3 linked regions of the Arabidopsis thaliana genome follow. The protein of the gene in region 2 purifies or fractionates together with the protein of the main gene of each other region. This does not show direct contact. Each region holds a gene or a part of one and is shown on either strand. Other genes may lie near its edges.

Region 1 (3,758 bases), on a different chromosome or scaffold from region 2:
ATCTCTGAAAATTTAAGACGACGAAACATTAATGTCAACCCATATTGTCCACGATGCTGCAATGAGGTAGAAACAAATAATCATGCAATGTTCACATGTCCACAGGTGAAACAAATATGGAGAGCTTCAGGAATTCCCACACATGTACTTTGAGCCCAGACGAGACAATGAAGAATAAAGTCCGCTATTTATTAACGTTGCATGAGGATACAAAGGTTGAGACAACCGGACGACTTTTACCATTTTGGCTAATGTGGCGTATTTGGAAGAGCCGAAATGATTTAGTCTTCAACAAAAGAGCAAAGGATACAACTGATATAGTCAAACAAGCGTCCCTCGACACAAAGGAATGGCTAGATAACATGCGACCCCCAGAAAGAAATACCCGAGACCAACTATCATCTACATCGAGAAAGGCTAATTGGCAAAAGCCTCCAGTAGGATGGGTCAAGTGTAACTACGATGTCTCTCACTATGAAGGAAAGATAACCGCGGGTCTTGGCTGGATCATCAGGAATTCACACGGCACATGTATGGACTGCGGAATGGGGAAATTTCAAGGACGCCAAACAATTGAAGAAGGAGAATGTACTGCACTCATTTGGGCTATACAATGCGCATAGGGACTTGGTTATAGGAAGGTAATATTCGAGGGTGACAGCGTCACTGTTACTAGTATCATCAATAGCATAGAGCCCAATCCAAGATTACGACATTATCTTGATTTCATACATCAATGGCGTAAAGCTTTTAACTTCATCGAGTTCAAATTCCGACATCAAGAAAACAACGTCTATGCTGATGTCTTGGTCAAGACAGCTACCAAGAGTAATACAAACTTTGAGTTATATCGAATATGTCCTAGGTTTTTATAGCCGTTTGTATACAATGATGTAAAACATTTGCATTGATAATAATATTGGAAGGAAAAAGAAAAAAATCTAAACGAAATAAAAAATATTAATTCTATATTTCTAAGTAAACTCTTATTCATTATGTTTAATATTTTGTTACTACATTTATACTCTAAAACTTCAAAAAGTATTTAAGTTAATTATCTTATGCTTTTGCTGATAAAACAAAAAGTAAGAAAATAATTCTATAGGATTTTGTTTACTCACAAGTGTAAAATAATTCTTTATGTTTTGTAGTCAATTTTAACAAACTTTAATTACAATGAAGTAACTAACGTCATTACATACACATCTTGTACAAAAAAGAAATATCAAATCATCTCTCTCTTAACTTTATTGGATGAAAGTTCACATCAACAAAACAAACAATAATTATTAATAATTTGTATGTAGTAAAATCTTATAAATACAAAACTGTAAAGCAAACTAAAAATTATGGAAGTAAGAACATATCAATTATTATGTCATGTTAAAACCGATTGCACCATTTTATTGTATCTATGAACATCATCTATTAGTTTTTTTTAGCTGGCAAACAAGATCCTAATTTTTGTATAAAACTTTAGCAATAATGCATTACAAAAACCTTCTGATTGTCATAAAAGATTAAATTAAGAAATAAGAATGAAGACTAGAGAGAATAAAACTCGAAACAAGAGTTTTCTTATTGCTTTCTCTTTCTCTTCTCTTTTTCTCTGTTTTCTCTATATCTTATAAATGAATGAAATGAGTTATATATAGTAGAGCTTACTTAGCTAGGAAGTAAATTACTTAGAGAATAGTAATGGATAAACATCATCCATATCTTAAAGATGAAGTAATGGATAAACATCATCCATATTTTAAGAAGGAAATAATGGATAAACATCATCTATATCTTAAGGAAGAAATAATGGATAAACATCATCCATATCTTATGGATAGAGATGAATGATGGATAATGACATCCATACTTATCCGGTTTATAACACTGATCAAAATAATACCATTATTCTACGTTCTCTAATCGTGAATCCTCATAATTGAGATATACAGTTTTATTTTTTCTGAAGACAATAATCTACACTTAATATACTTGAATAAAAAATTTATTTGTCTTACCATAAAAAGAAAGAGTAAAATATTGATTTTGATCTCAACAAAATCATATAACCGAAGCCGAAGGATGTGAAACAAATGGGCTTCTAGTTTGGGCCCAAATAGCCTAAAGCGAAGATAAAGCCCATAAAAACCTAAAATGTAAGCGAGCTTGCTTGTTGCTCCTATAAATTCATAAACCCTAACTTCGTTTTCCTCTCGCAGACGCAGCCATGGTAAATTCTTGATCTCCGCCTCTCAATCTCCGTTTCTTATGTATTACAAAATGAATTCTCCGTTTGCGAGCTTGATCTAGTTGGTTTAGCGTGTAATGGTTCCTTAGGTTTCTGATGTTTCGTTATGGATTTGCATTTGAGTGTTTTATCGTTGTTGTTATTTTAGGGTATCGATCTTATCGCAGGAGGTAAGAGTAAGAAGACCAAAAGGACTGCTCCTAAGTCCGATGATGTCTACCTAAAGCTTCTCGTCAAGGTAACAAATATTGACATGTCTTTTACTTATGTTTCTCTGTCTGTTACATTTTGGTTTATTGAGATTTGTTTGTGTTTTTGATAAATTTTGTAGCTTTACCGGTTTTTGGTGAGGAGATCTAACAGCAACTTCAATGCTGTGATTCTGAAAAGGCTTTTCATGAGCAAAGTCAACAAAGCTCCTCTTTCACTCTCTAGGCTTGTAGAGTTCATGACTGGCAAGGTTCGATCTTTTTGAGACCCATCTCTCTTTATATACATCTTGAGTCTGTCCTTGGTCTTAATTTGGAACCCCATTTATTTTATTTTCATTCTGTGAAGTTATGAGTTTTGACGTTGTCCTGTTATGTTAGTATGTGAGAACAAATGTACAAACTTGATTTTGTATCTTACTATTCAGTGATGGTTAGAGTACTCAAATGTTGTGGTTTGTCTATTTATTAGGATGACAAGATTGCTGTGTTGGTTGGAACTATCACTGATGATTTGAGAGTTCATGAGATTCCTGCCATGAAGGTTACTGCCTTGAGGTTTACTGAGAGGGCTAGGGCTAGAATTGAGAAAGCTGGTGGAGAGTGCTTAACCTTTGACCAGCTTGCTCTCAGAGCTCCATTGGGACAGAACACAGTAAGTAAAATTTTACACTATCTGAATGTTTAGGATAATTCAAGTTTATATATGAAACTGAGCTGTGTTTGATATGTTGTGACAGGTTCTTCTTAGAGGACCAAAGAACTCGCGTGAAGCAGTGAAGCATTTCGGACCTGCTCCTGGTGTGCCACACAGTAACACTAAGCCATATGTTAGGCATAAGGGAAGGAAGTTTGAGAAAGCTAGAGGAAAGCGAAAGAGTCGTGGATTCAAGGTCTAAGAAGATGTTTTCTGGTTTCGTTTTGCTTGGTTTAAGTATCGAAGTTTTGGTAGGGAACGCTGGTTCCTCTTTACCCTGTTCCAGACTTTGTTTTAAGTTCTGTTTTTCTATTCTCAAGACAATTGGATATTTTGCTTTGTCTTTTAATCTTACTACTATTAGCTGCAATGAGATTTTATCTAGAATTTGGATTTGATCAGTATTTGGAGTTCATAGTATCATTATGGTCTATTTCGTTTTGTATTTCTCTTCCTTGGAAATAAAATATCTGTACATGAGTATTAAAATGTGTAAACAACCCTGAAAAATGTTCTGTTTCGTACTAACCCACCTAATTCGTTGTCTATTAGGTTCTAGCAAAAATCGTATATCCATAATCATAATGAAGCTTGTCAAATAAGAACG
Region 2 (3,758 bases):
CGGTTTTTGTATACGTAAGTTTATGCCACGTGTCCTCTTATCCATGGATTGGACGGCTTGGAATCGTGGAATATTTTATTCTCATACCAAAGTCCAAATATATTACAACCTCCCCCTTTTTTTCCCTTCACAAAAAGCTAAAAGCCATTGCTTAAAAAACCAAGAAATACTAAAAGGATTTGGAAAAGTAGCAATCCTGATTTTGATTGATAGTACTATAATGGAACACCAGTAGTTGAAATTAGATACATAGGTTGAATGGAATTGTAACATAGGTTTATTTTATTCCCTTTTTTTTTTGTGAATACATGACAAAATGGTATTGAATTGTAAATGAACTTTTCAGAATTGTGTGAATGGCCAAAAAAATTGCAAAATATAAAAGACTATTCTAATATCGACAGAATTTACTAATCAAGATCAAACTCATACCAAAATAAATATAGGCCGTTCAATAAATAATTTCATTATGGATGTGAGTTTAACTTCATTATGGAGCATGTACATGGTTTGGGACACGGGAAAGGCGATAACATAACTTCTGCACTATACACCGTTTAAAGAGGGAATTTACCAGGGAAATTTGGTGCATGGTCAGATCAAATTTGGTCCATATGAGAGCTTGGACGGTAATAAAAGAAGGCAAGCGATAGAACATAACGAAATTTGGTAATGGGACTAGAAGAAAACAGCACGTGGGTAGGACATAGTGTTACACCCAAAAAGACAACAAAGCAACGAAGCAACCATAATTGTTTAGTCCTTTTTTTCTTTCTTTTGGCTTAAACGTTGTCTTTCCTTTTTGGCAAATAGTGGATTGCTGCCGAATATTACACTATCCAATCTTCTTCTTTAACCTCATTAAAACCCACTATTCATCATGCATTTATTTTACACATTCATGGTGAAACTACTTGGTATATATATGCAAATGAATATGCATGTGGATGGTACATGGCGTTTGATTTTGCATATAGGCAATTTATTGATCAATACTTGGTGTAGTTGGTACATTAAAGTTGCATTATAGACAAACAAAATTCGGCTGTCATGCTTGATTGATCTATAGATGATTTCATAATAAAAAAATATTGTCATGGATAAAAATAGTGAAGATGATAACAAAAAGAACAGAACACAAAGAAGAATCTCATTTCTTTTTTGATTAATAAAAGGATATAAAGTCATTAGTTTTTTTATTCGTCTCACTCGACACTAATAATAACTAAAATTGTTGGAGAATTAAAAGTAAGAAAGCAATGCTATAAAATAAAGTAATTGTTGGGAATGGAGCATGTAAAATTATCACTCATAACTAAAATTAGCAATGTTATAAAGTATTTAAGTAAGAAAATGTTGTAGATAATTTGTTAAATGAGGTGTCCCTATGTCTTTTAGGTGCGGTGAGTCCATGTGCTTATCCTGACAGCGGTCCAACTTAACCGGCGGTTCATCTCGACCACATATTCAACTGCTTTTTTAATATGATTTTCTGTATTTTCTTACCTGTCATAATCTACATTTAAACGTTAAAAAATGTCCACAATTTTATTTATTTTATTAGGGTACAATAACGACATTTGATTAGAGTAAAGAAAATAGTTGCAAAGCGGGATTTGAAACTCTGTCCACATACTTTAATTATCATTAATCAATAACAAGCATTATCAGTATTCAGCAGCAGCAAAGATGATAACGTTAATTATACTATCATGCAATTAAGTTAACTAATTAACTATCATCTTGTTTATGTTTTAATTTTGTTTCCATCATCTTCCAACCTTGAGTTTCGGTCACTATAAAAAGCCACCACTCTCTCTGCTTCTCTGCAACACATAACCCACTCACAGAAAAACCTAGAAAGCTCTAGAGAGAAAGAGAGAGAGAGATGGAAGGTAAAGAAGAAGATGTTAGAGTCGGAGCTAACAAGTTTCCGGAGAGGCAACCGATCGGAACTTCGGCTCAGAGTGACAAGGACTACAAAGAGCCACCACCTGCGCCGTTGTTCGAGCCCGGCGAGCTAGCTTCATGGTCCTTCTGGAGAGCTGGGATTGCTGAGTTTATAGCTACGTTTTTGTTCCTGTACATCACTGTTTTGACTGTTATGGGTGTGAAGAGGTCACCGAACATGTGTGCTTCCGTCGGAATCCAAGGTATCGCTTGGGCTTTCGGTGGTATGATCTTCGCTCTCGTCTACTGCACCGCTGGTATCTCCGGTAAGTTCACTGGTTTCTCCGATCTAACGATTTCGAATATAGATCCTGTGTTAGCTAGGTAGCGTAATTCAAATCTTAGCATGTTTAGGATTCAATCAGGAACAAATTAGGGTTTACAAACTCAGTAAATGGGGGACTTTGATGTTAGTTCCAGCTTTGTTCTGCTTGGAATCATTTGATTTGCAGATGTTTTAATCTGTGTTTGTGTATGTTATGACCTTTCAGGTGGACACATCAACCCAGCGGTTACGTTCGGTTTGTTCTTAGCTAGGAAGCTTTCGCTCACACGAGCTGTGTACTACATAGTGATGCAGTGCTTAGGAGCTATCTGTGGAGCTGGTGTGGTCAAGGGGTTCCAGCCAAAGCAATACCAGGCTTTGGGAGGTGGAGCCAACACCATAGCTCATGGCTACACCAAAGGAAGTGGTCTTGGAGCTGAGATTATTGGAACCTTTGTCCTTGTTTACACCGTCTTCTCTGCCACTGATGCCAAGAGAAACGCTCGTGACTCTCATGTTCCTGTAAGTTTATCAATAAAGGATGGATTTTGGTTTTTGTAACATCGGATCAAAATGCTTAATTGGTTTTGAAATTTTGACAGATTCTAGCACCGCTCCCTATCGGATTCGCTGTGTTCTTGGTTCACTTAGCAACCATCCCCATTACTGGAACTGGAATCAACCCAGCAAGAAGTCTTGGAGCTGCAATCATCTTCAACAAGGACAACGCTTGGGATGACCACGTGAGTGTTTCACTTCTCACCAAATTTACAATTCAGAGTAAGGTTTCAATTATCGGATAACTAATCTAGCTGTATCTTCTTCTCTCAGTGGGTCTTTTGGGTTGGACCATTCATTGGTGCTGCACTTGCTGCTCTCTACCACGTTATAGTCATCAGAGCCATCCCATTCAAGTCCAGAAGCTAAAGCTGATTGAGTTCTATTTAAAATCTGGCTTTTGTTCTTAGTTTGCTTTCTTTTGTGAATCTACTACCTGTGTGTAACGTGTGTATCTGTTGTCCTCTTCTTTGCCTAATGGAGACTTATGTAAAACAAAGACATGCCCCAGAAACATCTGTTATCTTTCTTCTCCATTTTATCAGAGGATTTCTATAATTGGCCCATTCTGGGTTTATCTCAAGCAGGCAACTTATCTTGAATCAAAGTGGACCAGACATATTTAATGCATTTATGTTATAATCTGCTACAAAAGAATAGTGCCATTACAAGTGAATCATTCATGCCAAATGTTATCTGACAAAATTGGCTCAAATTCAAGAAAACGACTCCTATAAATAAAACTAGGAATTGACAACGGGTAAGATTAAATGGCAATTTCAAAACCTGGAAAATGATTTGTAAGAAACAATTGTTAAACATAGAGCTATTCGATTATTCTAAGGATTATCATACAATGATACAAATAAAATGTGGCCATCGCGAACAGATTTCCAAACAATGTGACATTCTTTAAGCTTAGAATGAAACCTTTAGAATAAGATTTATTAAATCAAATTGAGAGATGCTTACAAAATAATGAAAT
Region 3 (3,758 bases), on a different chromosome or scaffold from region 2:
ATTCACTCACCGGTCAATCCAAGAGGGCGAAGATCCCAGAGAACAAGGTGGTTCTCAGTTCCATTGGTCACAATCTGGTAACCCTTGCTCATTAGGTAGTTTCCAAGGGCAACAGCATTGGCTTTCACTTGTTTTGCGTAGACCTTGAACCCAGGAGTATTAGCCTGCTTCAACGCAACAGCTAGAGCACCAATCTGGTGATTGTGAGGACCACCTTGAAGCGCAGGGAATACAGCAAAGTTGATTTTGTCCTCAAAATCATAGACTGCACCCTCGGGTTGACCCTTCTTTGGTGGTTTTGGACCCTTCCTGTAGAAAATCATACCAGCCCTTGGACCCCTCAAACTCTTGTGGGTTGTGGTTGTCACAACGTCACAGTACTCAAATGGGTTTGCAGCTTCCTGTAAATATGATTAAAACTCAATCAGTTCTGTCGGTGAATGCAAAAAAAAAAAAAAAAAACTCAATCTTGGCAAGTAACATTAGAGTAATCCCCAAACTTCATCAGGCTAATAGGTTGGTTTTAGTTACTGAAAAGAATTGAATCTCATCCTGTGTTCACTTAAACATTCTTATAGGAGTTAAACTATAAACTAGGAGACTAAAATGAGACGGCACAAGTAAAATCAAACGACTTTAACAATGTGATATGATTCGTTCTTGGGAAGAAGAACATTTGATAACCCTGAAAACACTAGACTTGACACAATGAATGCAGATCTTCGTTCTAAACAATTCATAATGCTAAAACAAAACCAGATCTACATGAAACACAATATCAATACAAATGAGAATAGGCTTATAATATACCTGAGCAGCAACGAGACCACTGATGTGAGCCATGTCACAAAGCAAAAGAGCTCCAACCTTATCAGCAATAGCTCTAAATCTAGCGTAATCCCAATCCCTAGGATACGCACTACCACCACAGATAAGCAACTTAGGCCTGAAATCCAACGCCTTCTCTTCAAGCTTATCGTAATCAATGTAACCAGTGGTGAAATTCACCTTATACGGAAGACTCTCAAAGTAGATCGAAGTCGCAGAGATCTTCTTACCACCAGATGTATAGTAACCATGAGTCAAATGACCACCTGAAGGCAAATCAAGCCCCATGATACGATCGTGAGGCTGAAGCAAAGCCGTGTAAGCAGCGAAATTTGCCGGAGATCCAGAATACGGCTGAACATTAACGCCCCACGCTGCTGGATCACAATGGAAAGCTTCGAGAGCTCTTGAACGGCAAAGATTCTCGATCTCATCGATGAATTCGTTACCTCCGTAATAACGATTACCAGGAATACCTTCGGAGTATTTGTTGGTTAAGGCACTTCCGAGAGCTTCGATGACGGCGAAGGAAGTGAAATTCTCGGAAGCGATAAGTTCGATTCCTCGACATTGCCGACGTTTCTCCTTCTCGATTAGGTCGTGGATCTCTGGATCTACGGAGACGAGAGAGGTGTTACCCCATGAAGAGACTGGTTCCATCTTCTTTGTAGATTGTTGAATGGATCTGAGATCGGAGAAAGAGGGAGGGAGAGATCTGAGATCAGAGAGTGAGAAGTGGGAAGAGAGGCGGTTGGGTTTAAAAGAGGAGTAGAAAATGGGGTAAATTACGGATTTGTCCTCCTTTGCTAATTTTGGTGTTAGTTGGTTAGGTGTGTGTGGTAGGAGAACAAGCTTAGTGTGTTTTGACTATTTTACCCTCTTACCAATATTTGTTTCCCTTAATTAATTATGATTAGATGGATACTTAAGGCCCAATTGCATTTAAGGTTGTGTTGGGTAAATCTCTCTCTCGGATTATTTTTATTTTTTTGACATCAGAAATTGAATTTGTTGGTAGAAAATAAAAAGTAATTACAAACAAAAATATAATCTATTGATTCCAAAAAAAAAAAAAAAACTGTATAAATCCCTATAAATCGGAGGAATTAAAATTGGAAAAAGGGCTTTGAGGGCCCATGATCTTGATTCAGCCCAGTGTTTTAGATAGGAGTAATTACATTTTAATAAGAAACTCTATAGTTTTTCATAGTTTAACCTTTCAAAACTCAAATGGTCGTACATCTGGTGTAAATAAGATGTATTATGTGTTAACAATGCAAAGGTAATTAAACCAACGTCAACATTGTCGACCACAAAATTTTCATCTATGTTGTGAAGATTTCAACAATTTATCCGCTTCAATATTATGTGATTAACCCCTTAAATGTTAATAATGTATTTTTTAAAGCTTTTTCACAAAGGAAGTATTCACGATGAATTTAAACATATGAATTTTGCGGATAAAAATAGTCTCTCACATATCTCCAAGCTAAATAAAACTTTATACGGTCTTAAACGAAACACTTGAAAACGGATAACGCAAAATTAAAATTGTATTTTCATAGTAATCTGATTTTAAAGTTACTTGCGGATGAATCTTAGTTCATATTCATCAATCATCACTAAGAATCACGAAGTCACCGTACCCTCTATATGACTATATCCTTGTTTATGTTTACGTTATAATTTTCAATGACAACTCATCATATGTGTAACCGTACCCTCTATAAGACTATATCCTTGTTTATGTTTATGTTATAATTTCAGTGACAACTCATCATATGTGTAACTACAGCATCACTTTGCCTCACTATTCATTATCCCAACATTATAAGAAATTGGTGGTCTTTGCTTAGCATCCTGACTAGATCACTTAATCGATACCATATCCAAATTAACATCACATTATAGTTAGAGAACATATCCAACTCTTTCGCCCATTTTGCTTATGTTGAAAATGCCAAATGAAATGTGTACAAATTGTTATTTTTCGATACTCTCAGTTTCTAATGAGAAAAAATAAGTTTGTTATTCCACTAAAGTCTTAGATATTCTCTGTCACAAATTTTATAATTTAGCATATGAAAAGAGCCATTAAACACACATTTTTATAAACAAGAAATAGTTGGTAGCCTCCCTTTGAAACCTTTTTTCGTGGACATACTAATTAACTAACTACACGATTGAGGAGTTGTTATGGTTAACAAATTTATTTATTATTATTGCATCGTGCCCTCGGTTGATCAAAGAATATTAAGTATTTAATATTTGCTAGAGAATGGCATGATCATGGGGTTTGGAGAGGAGAGTAGGTGGTTTTGTATGCATGTGAGTCGGTGAGGGTCAAAATCGTCTTTTCAATTTAAGATTTGATTATGTGGTCATTAAATAGTAACGTAGTGCCTAGTGGTATTGGCAGATCTGAGGTCAACATGTGATGTGACGAAGATCTTCATTTTCTTCGTAAACACACAGAATACTGAAGTTAGAAAAATGTCTTTTTCAGGTAATATTTACTCAGTAAAGAAAAAAGGCTGGTAAAAGTAAACTTTTAAGTTTGAACGTTAAAGTCAATTTAATAGTGTTTATTTATTTATTCGACATGTAGAAAATTAAACGATCTACGTAAAATATGAATACAAAAATATTAAATATTAGAATAAAGTGAGAGTATGTGTAAATCACGTTTTGGTGAATTTTTTCCATGTGGTAGAATAATAGAGGAGGACTTTTGTTGTAAAGTAAGCTTCACCAACCTCGATTTTTAGACCTGTATAATTGGAAACCCACCTACCTCCGCAAATACAACGAAAAGTATTGTCTTATAATACTTTCTTAATTAAATAACAATTCTTTTGGAGTCATATCATATATATACTCCTATTGTGGTGTCGACATGGTGACATACTACATAATGAAACCGGTGAGAT

The links.
Region 1: the proteins of PIP1B (region 2) and AT5G27850 purify together in Arabidopsis thaliana (affinity purification with mass spectrometry, with the first as the bait; one large-scale study listed by BioGRID). This does not show direct contact.
Region 3: the proteins of PIP1B (region 2) and SHM4 purify together in Arabidopsis thaliana (affinity purification with mass spectrometry, with the first as the bait; one large-scale study listed by BioGRID). This does not show direct contact.

What each region holds. Positions count from the first base shown.
Region 1 is NC_003076.8:9,870,945-9,874,702, forward strand, and holds the start of AT5G27850 (Ribosomal protein L18e/L15 superfamily protein), read left to right. Parts: upstream 1-2,122; 5' UTR 2,123-2,224; coding exon 2,225-2,227; exon of another isoform or gene 2,228-2,393; coding exon 2,394-2,483; intron 2,484-2,576; coding exon 2,577-2,705; intron 2,706-2,926; coding exon 2,927-3,109; intron 3,110-3,194; coding exon 3,195-3,353; 3' UTR 3,354-3,758.
Region 2 is NC_003071.7:18,908,562-18,912,319, forward strand, and holds PIP1B (plasma membrane intrinsic protein 1B), read left to right. Parts: upstream 1-1,733; 5' UTR 1,734-1,888; coding exon 1,889-2,216; intron 2,217-2,441; coding exon 2,442-2,737; intron 2,738-2,817; coding exon 2,818-2,962; coding exon of another isoform or gene 2,963-3,018; exon of another isoform or gene 3,019-3,046; coding exon 3,047-3,183; 3' UTR 3,184-3,421; downstream 3,422-3,758.
Region 3 is NC_003075.7:8,048,534-8,052,291, forward strand, and holds the start of SHM4 (serine hydroxymethyltransferase 4), read right to left. Parts: upstream 1,625-3,758; 5' UTR 1,489-1,624; coding exon 811-1,488; intron 402-810; coding exon 11-401; intron 1-10. UniProt on the Arabidopsis thaliana protein: Catalyzes the interconversion of serine and glycine with the conversion of tetrahydrofolate (THF) into 5,10-methylene-THF.